Drosophila melanogaster: one gene and its partner. The protein of the gene in region 1 interacts with the protein of each later gene in a pairwise test. Each region holds a gene or a part of one and is shown in the gene's direction. Other genes may lie near its edges. The genes, in order: RpS20 and hpo.

Region 1 (3,658 bases):
TCTGCATGGCAATGATTTGTTATGGCGGATGCGAGATGGATTAGCATGAGATTCGAGCATGACCACAACCATAACCGGAAACAGCCCAGTTTTATTACGCATATGCAAAGAAGTAGAACAGAATAGTGGGTCAAACAAAACGAAATACAGAAACCACAAACGCAACTCTAACCAGCGAGCCAGATTAAAAAGCAGTAGCTATCTTACCGTGCCAATGGATCAGCGATTTGATCAGCTCGCAGCCGTCCAACTTGTTGTTGTTGTCCGAGTCGTGCATCTTGAAGTAGTGGAACTGCAGCTCAGCCTCGGACATCTTGCTCGTATCGATTGGCACTTGCATGTGCTCCTGGATGTGACTGAAATTGAAAGAGTAAGGTTTGGTATTAGATCCAACTGATCGTTGATTTGGTTGAAGAAATAGATCAGCCCAGAAATATTATGTAAGTACTATGTCTAATTTACTTTTAACATGGAACTTTTGATATATAATTTCTTTAAATGCGAATGGAAACATTTGCTGTATGAAAATGTCACTATGCTTAATTTATAGACTTTTTTCCTAATTAAGCCTTAGGTTTGCGGTACAACAAAATACCTCCCTTCACTTTTATGATTTATTTATGACATTTTTACTCGTATACCCTAAAGCTCCATTGATGGATAATGATTGCCAGTGGCAGTGATAAGATAGACGGGCACTTACGCGCGCTCCTGCTGAATGTTGCCGGTGTTTAGGACTTGCTGCGGTTGCCCATGGTGGTGGCCACCTGCCTGCTGGTGGTGCCCCTGCTGCGGCTGTTGCTGTTGCTGCATCGTCGGTTGCTGGTGGATTGGTTGATGTTGCTGCTGCTGCTGCTGCACAGGAACTTGCTGATATTGGACCGGTGCCTGCTGTTGCACGGGAACTTGAACCTGTTCGTATTGCTGGAAGTCGGAGGCCTACTGGTTAATTGCTTGCCATTCGGAAATGCGCATTTGCACTCACGTATTGCTGGGGCGGCACACCGGGTGCTGAGTGGACCTGTTGCTGGTACTGCGGCTGGTGGTGCTGCGGTGGTGGCGGTGGGTGGTGCTGCGGCACCTGCTGCGGCACTTGTTGCTGCAATATGTGTGGGTTAATTCCCTCATTGGCGAATGGGGGTGCTTCAAATCACTCACATAGTGCTGCGGATTCACTCCGGGAGCGACGCGCTGTCCGCTGGCCAATCCAATCAGGATTAGGGGCAGCAGCAGCTGAACTGCTGGCAATTCCGTGACGCGCATCTGCATGGAAGTGCTGGATTCTGGCGGGGATCGGATCGGATCGGTTTGGGATCTATATCGCTTCTGGTGGCTCTGTAATCACCACGTCGCAAAGACGAAACACACACGTACACAAATCGCTTCTTCTTCGCCGGTGGACATTCGCAGCGAGCGACAGCTGATTCTCAGGTAAGTGCGGACATTCGCCACGAAACGTGTGAGCGGCATGACAACACTGCGCGCCTGGGTTAGGGGTATGCGCGTAGATAATATTATCATGCTTCAAACCGAAAAAAAAAATCATAAAAACAAACTTGATGCTTCCATTTAACAACTCAAAATTTAATCAATCTAATATGTGTACGATTTCACCGTTAGGGGTTTAGTATTAGTACCCCGCTAATATTTAGCTCAAGGAACACCCCAAATGCAGTTGGGCATAATTAGGGTGTTTTAAAGATTGAAGCTACGGTCTACCGTGGACACCCTGTAAAACTTCTCTTCGTTTTCAACCAGCAAATTGACTGGTTCAGCGCTGCTCAAAATACAAAGATTTGAATATCTCGACCAGGGAAATTGCTAAATAATGGTAAGAATGCTGTTGCCGAACAATCCGCAACTACTGCGAGTCAATAGTAGTGCTTGCATTGCCCTTGCCAACACGAAATACCGTGCACGTGCGATGGCCGTTCAACCTAACCCCACTTAATCGATGTTTCCGCCAAATCCACAGGCTGCTGCACCCAAGGATATTGAGAAGCCCCATGTCGGCGATTCTGCCTCTGTGCACCGCATCCGCATCACCCTGACATCCAGGAACGTGCGTTCGCTGGAGAATGTGTGCCGCGACCTGATCAACGGTGCAAAGAACCAGAACTTGCGCGTCAAGGTGAGAATTTTGCGTCCAACTCAGGGATTTAGAGGTTGCATTTACCTGGAGGCTTTGCGTTCCCCCAGACGCTTAGCCTAGTCATTAATAAATGCTAGATAAAGTGCCAGAATCGGACATTATTCCCGCACTGATCGACTGCAGAGCTGGAATATCACATGGTTCAGGCTACAATACCCATTTTCATGAGGAATTCCTTTCTAATTCTTAAATATTCATTTATTTCAGGGCCCCGTGCGCATGCCGACCAAGACCCTTCGCATCACCACCCGTAAGACTCCTTGTGGTGAGGGTTCCAAGACCTGGGATCGCTTCCAGGTGGGTTATCCCCTATAATATATATAGTAACAAACGGGCGAATCTGATATCGTGGTTGGGCATTCAACCAGTCGCTCCACAGTATCAATGATTTGCCCAGATAAAACGTATTCTCATAGTACAATTTGTTGGTATTTCCTCACACTTTGCCTCTCTGAATGCGACAAAACTAATTAATAATGACTCAGCTATTAGCTTGCCAATGGAGTTGCATATTAAATCAATATTACATTATTCCAGATGAGAATCCACAAGCGCATCATCGACTTGCACTCGCCCTCTGAGATCGTCAAGAAGATTACCTCCATCAACATCGAGCCCGGCGTAGAGGTTGAGGTCACCATCGCCAACTAAGATCGGCAGATGCCACATTTTTACACCTCGAAAAGTTTGGCGTGCTAATAAAAACAAAGAACTTTTTCCATACACATTTGGCCAACTTTATTGTGCGAAAATTGGAGTACTTTACTGGAATGTTTTTTTATGGTAAAGGCAGTCTAATAGTAGTCGGGAACTGGGGCGCATGCAATCTTGACAAAGTCTGCATACCGCACAGTGCTATTGTTGTTCACATTGGCCTCCCGGAAGATGTTGTCCACTTCGCGCATGGACAGGCCCTCTCCCCAGTTTTGAAGTAGATTACGCAGCTGTCTGGCCGAGATGGTGCCCTTATTCTGCGGATCGGCCGCTTTAAAGGCGGCAATGACCTCGTCCGGCAAACTCTCCACCTTGGAGTGCTGATGCATGATGTCCAGGAAGTCGGCGAAGCTCATTTTCCCATTCTTTTGCTTCAGATAGGAAACCAGTTCTTGGATCGTCGGCGAAAGACCCAAAGAACGCATAATAACCTGATGACGTGAAGTTTACACCATTAGTATGTTTTTTTTTTCTGGGGTGGGAGCTCAACTCACGGTTAGTTCGTCCAAATTGTTGATTTGGCCCGAACGGGCGAACAGATAAAAACACTCACGGAACTCTGGGGGTTACAGATAAGAAATGTTTTCGGTATGAAATCATCAATTCACATTGATACGCATATTTACCATCAATGTCCTGTTCTTTAAAGTAACGAGCCTGAAATAAAGTTCAGAAGTAGAAAGTTGCATAAATACAAATGGTTAATGGGGGCAGTCGAGTGGAAAGTGCAGTTATGAACAGAAGAAAGCATTTTCAGTTTAAGTGAATGGCTTATGTAACTCACCATTTTAG
Region 2 (5,611 bases), on another chromosome or scaffold:
AATATGGAGTGCCATCCAAGGTCTGTGACATTGAACCAGCCAAAGGGGTCACACACACACTCATGCGAGGTGGGTGGGAATTGGTTACACATAACTTTCCGATTGCAGCGGAGTTCCATGGGAAATTGACTGACAGTTGGACGGTGCGACGTTTTGAATGTCAGTAGTCGCATTCCGGACGGAATCGCTTGCCCGTCAGCCGTGGAGCTCTACTAACTCCGGAAATAGACAATGGCATATTATTTACTCGGTTTTTGCTTTCACCTGCAACACTTGAAATAATTGGACACGCAGGTGTACGAAACTCGAGCTAAATTCAAATATGGGCTTTGTCTATGGGTCACCGAGTGGTAAGGTTACCCCTTTCTAGTGACAGTCGTGCAATTTCATTTGATTTTTATTTGCATTGACTCACATTTGTATAGTTGAAGTTTAAGTTTGCCAACAGACATATGGAAAATTCTAGCTATGGTTACAAAAATAAATCATTACCCGAATGTAAGGGCTTAAAAAGAATTAAGTTTAAATGTATGACCTATCCAAATTTCGAACAATATAACTTAATACCATATATATAGTATAATTAATAAGTCAACTAACAACGAACCTAATGGAATTTAGCGCCCTACCAAATAATTCCCACCACTCACCGTCCATCCGATTTTGTCGCCCCCGCAGAGGTACTCCATCTTTATGGGCAGGTCGCCGCGGTCAAAGTACATTCGGAAGAGGGTTCCTCGTCCCGGATCATTAGCCCCACCGGTGGAGCAGCCATTAAGACCCATGCCCAAGTTGAAGGTGGACATGGACTTTTGTTGGCGCCTCAGAACTGAAAATCAGTACAAATGCAAATGTGGGCAGGGATGTCATTAGGGAAACAAATACCGATGGGCGAAACACCCAAATAAACAAACTAACGCACTTTTCGGATTGGGCACCCGACTCCTGGCACTGGCTGTCTTGGGGGCGGTTTCGTGGATGGGTCCGTCGATGACGACCGTGTTCTTTTGCTGCGACTGAATGGAGAAGGGTGGAACGTAGCGCGGACGCGACGAGACCGCCGCTCCATGGATGCCGCTAAGTGGACGCAGTTGCGCCGGATTGGCGGACTTGGAGCGCGTCGGCCTGTGGTAGTCGTGCGTGGGACGCCTTGCCGTCGCGGTGCGTGCCGTTTGGGCCATGGCCATTTCCGGTTGATGCGACGATGTGCAGCCACGTAGTGTAAACAGCGAACTGCCGAGCGAAGGAATTTCTGTAGCCAGGCTGGCACTCCTGGTGTTGGCGTTGCTTTTGCTGTTGCTGTTGGGTGTCGTGTCGTTTCTATGGAGCACGTTGCTAAGGCCTGGGGCGGCTTAGTGACCGATAAGCCAGCAGTTGGAGCTAAAGCCGCTTGCTCGCATTCGCTGCGGTGCTCTCTTCCAGTCGCATTTGTTACAATAACAAGCCGGTTAGCCTTATAGGCGCCAGTTATGTTGTTATTATCATTCGACTATGCACTAACCAAAGTCCCCGGACTGCATGTAGATTTCCCAAGCACTTTTATTGGGCATTTCAGGTCAGCGAACTCATCGGAATGAAGGGGATCTGGGTTTTCTGGGGGCGCAACCGCAGATTAACAACGACAAATTGGCACAGCTCATGTCAATCATGCCAACATTTTATTCTATTTGATGAACAACAACAATCGATCCATAAAAGCAATTTAATTTTATATACAGAAGTAATAAATATTAAAACGTATTCAAAGTGAAACAAATTACCTAAACAACTTAATATTATAAATATTATATGTTAATCAGAATTTACTAAATCTTTTTAATCAAAGTACAAAGTAAATCGTCATAAATCTAATCAATAGCCATGAGAAAAACATAGAAATGCCATCATCAAGCAAAGATTTCAAAAAAGAGGTAAGCATGCGTGAGTTGTAAATTTAATTTTAACCTTATAATTCTGAGCCAATAAATTAAGTTTTAAAAAGCGCGCCAAGAGAACTTATCGATAAATGGCTAATTCTGCTATGCAGCACTGGTGCTTTGTTTACATTCTGCGGTGTTCGGCGTTTGTCTGGCAACGCCGCACCTGTTCTGTGCGGGTGGCGTGTTGCAAAGTGCCGAGGGCACTGAGAACTACTAGTGTTGGCTAGCGATCGAGTGCGAATAAAGAACAAAAGTGTGATATGTCGCTGTGAATAGCCAATTATCTGTGTTTTCTCGTGCTAAATCAGAAAATTTTTCGCAATGTCTGAGCCAGAGGTGACCAGCGTTGTAGATATGAAATCGCCCAACATATCCTCCTCCTGCTCCTTCTTCAAGCTGAAGAAGCTGTCGGAGGAGTCGCTTCTGCAGCCGCCGGAAAAGGTCTTCGACATTATGTACAAGCTGGGCGAGGGCAGCTATGGATCAGTCTACAAGGCAGTGCACAAGGAAAGCAGCTCCATTGTGGCCATCAAGCTGGTGCCGGTGGAGTCCGACCTGCACGAGATTATTAAGGAGATATCCATTATGCAACAATGCGACTCGCCGTATGTGGTGCGCTATTACGGCTCCTACTTCAAGCAGTATGACCTGTGGATCTGCATGGAGTACTGTGGCGCCGGCAGCGTCTCCGACATTATGCGTCTGCGCAAAAAGACGCTGACGGAGGACGAGATAGCCACTATTCTGTCGGACACTCTGCAGGGCTTGGTCTATCTGCATCTGCGTCGCAAGATCCATCGCGACATCAAGGCGGCCAACATCCTGCTCAATACCGAAGGCTATGCTAAGTTGGCCGATTTCGGAGTCGCTGGTCAGCTCACGGACACAATGGCCAAGAGAAACACTGTGATCGGAACGCCCTTCTGGATGGCCCCCGAGGTGATTGAGGAGATTGGCTACGACTGTGTGGCAGACATATGGTCATTGGGCATCACCGCCTTGGAAATGGCCGAGGGAAAGCCCCCATACGGTGAGATCCATCCCATGCGAGCCATCTTTATGATTCCGCAGAAGCCACCACCATCGTTCCGGGAACCGGATCGCTGGAGCACAGAGTTCATTGACTTCGTGAGCAAGTGCCTGGTAAAGGAGCCAGACGACCGGGCAACGGCCACTGAACTGCTGGAGCACGAGTTCATACGCAACGCCAAGCACCGATCGATCCTAAAGCCTATGCTTGAGGAGACCTGTGCCATTCGCGAGCAGCAACGCGCCAATCGCAGTTTTGGGGGCGTGTTGGCTGCTAGTCAGGCGAAGAGCTTGGCAACCCAGGAAAACGGAATGCAACAACACATCACGGACAACGCGTTTATGGAGGATCCAGGTACTCTGGTGCCGGAGAAGTTCGGTGAATACCAACAGAGCTCAGCCTCAGATGCCACCATGATAGCGCATGCAGAGCAAGGTGTGGATGAGGGCACTTTGGGGCCGGGTGGACTAAGGAACCTGTCCAAGGCAGCTGCTCCTGCAGCGGCCTCTTCGGCAGCATCTCCTCTGGACATGCCGGCAGTTGACAGCGGCACAATGGTGGAGCTGGAGTCGAACTTGGGTATGTAAATGATTTTGAAAGGGCTGGCCATTTGTTATTGTATTGTCTGTTATTCAGGCACTATGGTAATCAACTCCGATTCGGACGACTCCACAACGGCCAAAAACAACGACGACCAGAAGCCGCGAAACCGCTACAGGCCGCAGTTCCTGGAGCACTTCGATCGCAAAAATGCGGGAGATGGCCGTGGCGATGAAAAACCCATAGCCACAGAGTATTCTCCGGCAGCAGCGGAGCAGCAACAACAACAACAACAGCAGCAGCAACAACAACAGCAGGATGAACAGCATCTGGCAAGCGGGGCCAACGATTTGAACAACTGGGAGCACAACATGGAAATGCAGTTCCAGCAGATCTCCGCCATTAATCAGTATGGTCTGCAGCAGCACCAGCAGCAGCAGCAAGTTCTGATGGCTTATCCCCTGATGAACGAACAACTCATCGCGCTCAACAATCAACCGAATCTGCTGCTCAGCAACGCTGCGCCAATGGGACAGCAGGGAATACCGGCAGCGGCTCCAGCTCAACCGCCGCCCGCATATCAGAATCAGCATATGCATACGCAATCGCACGCCTATGTTGAGGGTGAGTTTGAGTTCCTCAAGTTCCTTACCTTCGACGATCTGAACCAGCGGCTGTGCAACATCGATCACGAAATGGAGCTGGAGATCGAACAGCTAAACAAGAAATACAATGCCAAGCGGCAGCCAATTGTTGACGCCATGAATGCAAAGCGCAAACGCCAGCAGAACATCAATAATAATCTGATTAAGATATAGGTAAAGCAACTCACAATTTCGCAAGACAACTGATTATGAAATCTCAACTCACTCAATTGCCTCTACATTGGGTTAAGTTTGCAGATGAATACTGAATCTTACAGACCCATCATCTGTATCCTCTAGAAATTATTCGTGCATTGTGCAAATTTAACCTGGTGGAAGGGTCTAAAATCAATCACAAGAAATGAAAACACAAAAGCTTTATTGTAAAATGCAGTGAAAACAGAAAAGAGGAGTCATCGGCAGTATCTTCCAGCACGAAAGCATATTTTCTGTTAGATTTCATCAAATTTATGCTTGGTTTCTTATATCCTAGCTTTCATTGATCTGTCTTTTAATATAAATAGGTATGCTCGAATAAAATTTATCTTGCGTTTATTGTAGCTGCCCGTATTGTGAACTGCCCAGGCCTTATCATAATTTAATAAGACTTATAATATTCGTTCTTCCTTGGTAACTATTAACCTTTATCTCTAAAACACTTATTTTCTGTCTTCGTGCGATAAAAACAGTAACCCGTCAAGCAATACTTATAAAGGAGAAACATTTTTATACGCATTGGAATGCATATTTTTCGAACATATATTTATCAAAGCAAAATGCACAGAAACACTCACATTTAAACATTTATATATACCTAGTACTTTTAGCAATTATAAATAATTTACATAATAAATATATAGGAATATATGAATCAAAAAATTGCATACAATATATAACTTATTCGAAAGATACTTAAGAAAATTTTGTAATAAGTAATGATATATGTAGACCAAGGAAACCTCCTTTTTATTTTAGTATGACTACTCTTGTATATCCATTTCCTGAGTTGCCTGCTGCATGTCGTGCAATTGTGCCCGCAAATCTTCGGGCAAAGTGTGCTCGTTCAAGGCACTAGGGTCTTCACCATCCACGACAATCTCCTCTGGATCTGGGGCTCGTGGCAAAAAGTCGGCATCTGGGAACATTTTGCCAAATATGTCGCGAGCATTGGCAATGGCCGCGTCATAATCCAGCTCGTAGGTAGGTGGATCGGTGTAGTAAATATGCTCGGCAGCGGGACTTTTACTAGACTGGGCAGCAATTGTGAAGTATGAGCTAAATATTATTTGTGCGTCTGATTGATCGAAGAGTTGGCTAGTGAAAATGGCTAGATCAGACGCTGGATCCTCGCTCAACGCTGGCGTGGTCAGATGGAAGATATCTGTAAAAATTAATTCATTAAAAAGGAATAATTCACATATTTTCTTAAGTTTCTTACATAAACCCTCGGGACAGGCTCCCGTGTAGTGCGACAGTTG

The links.
Region 2: the proteins of RpS20 (region 1) and hpo interact in a two-hybrid assay, tested with the Drosophila melanogaster proteins (2 studies listed by BioGRID).

The regions. Positions count from the first base shown.
Region 1 is NT_033777.3:20,820,443-20,824,100, forward strand, and holds RpS20 (ribosomal protein S20), read left to right. Parts: upstream 1-1,738; 5' UTR 1,739-1,828; coding exon 1,829-1,831; intron 1,832-1,975; coding exon 1,976-2,131; intron 2,132-2,167; exon of another isoform or gene 2,168-2,307; intron 2,308-2,359; coding exon 2,360-2,449; intron 2,450-2,483; exon of another isoform or gene 2,484-2,618; intron 2,619-2,689; coding exon 2,690-2,803; 3' UTR 2,804-2,914; downstream 2,915-3,658. Other genes in the region: CG17271 (uncharacterized protein), read right to left, coding at 1-1, 208-356, 704-924, 986-1,099, 1,159-1,269; CG17272 (uncharacterized protein), read right to left, coding at 2,947-3,297, 3,361-3,425, 3,493-3,523, 3,651-3,653.
Region 2 is NT_033778.4:19,493,378-19,498,988, reverse strand, and holds hpo (hippo), read left to right. Parts: upstream 1-2,132; 5' UTR 2,133-2,240; coding exon 2,241-3,528; intron 3,529-3,585; coding exon 3,586-4,307; 3' UTR 4,308-4,993; downstream 4,994-5,611. Other genes in the region: CG15120 (uncharacterized protein), read right to left, coding at 651-829, 923-1,187; Rep (Rab escort protein), read right to left, coding at 5,114-5,514, 5,572-5,611. UniProt on the Drosophila melanogaster protein: Plays a key role in the Hippo/SWH (Sav/Wts/Hpo) signaling pathway, a signaling pathway that plays a pivotal role in organ size control and tumor suppression by restricting proliferation and promoting apoptosis.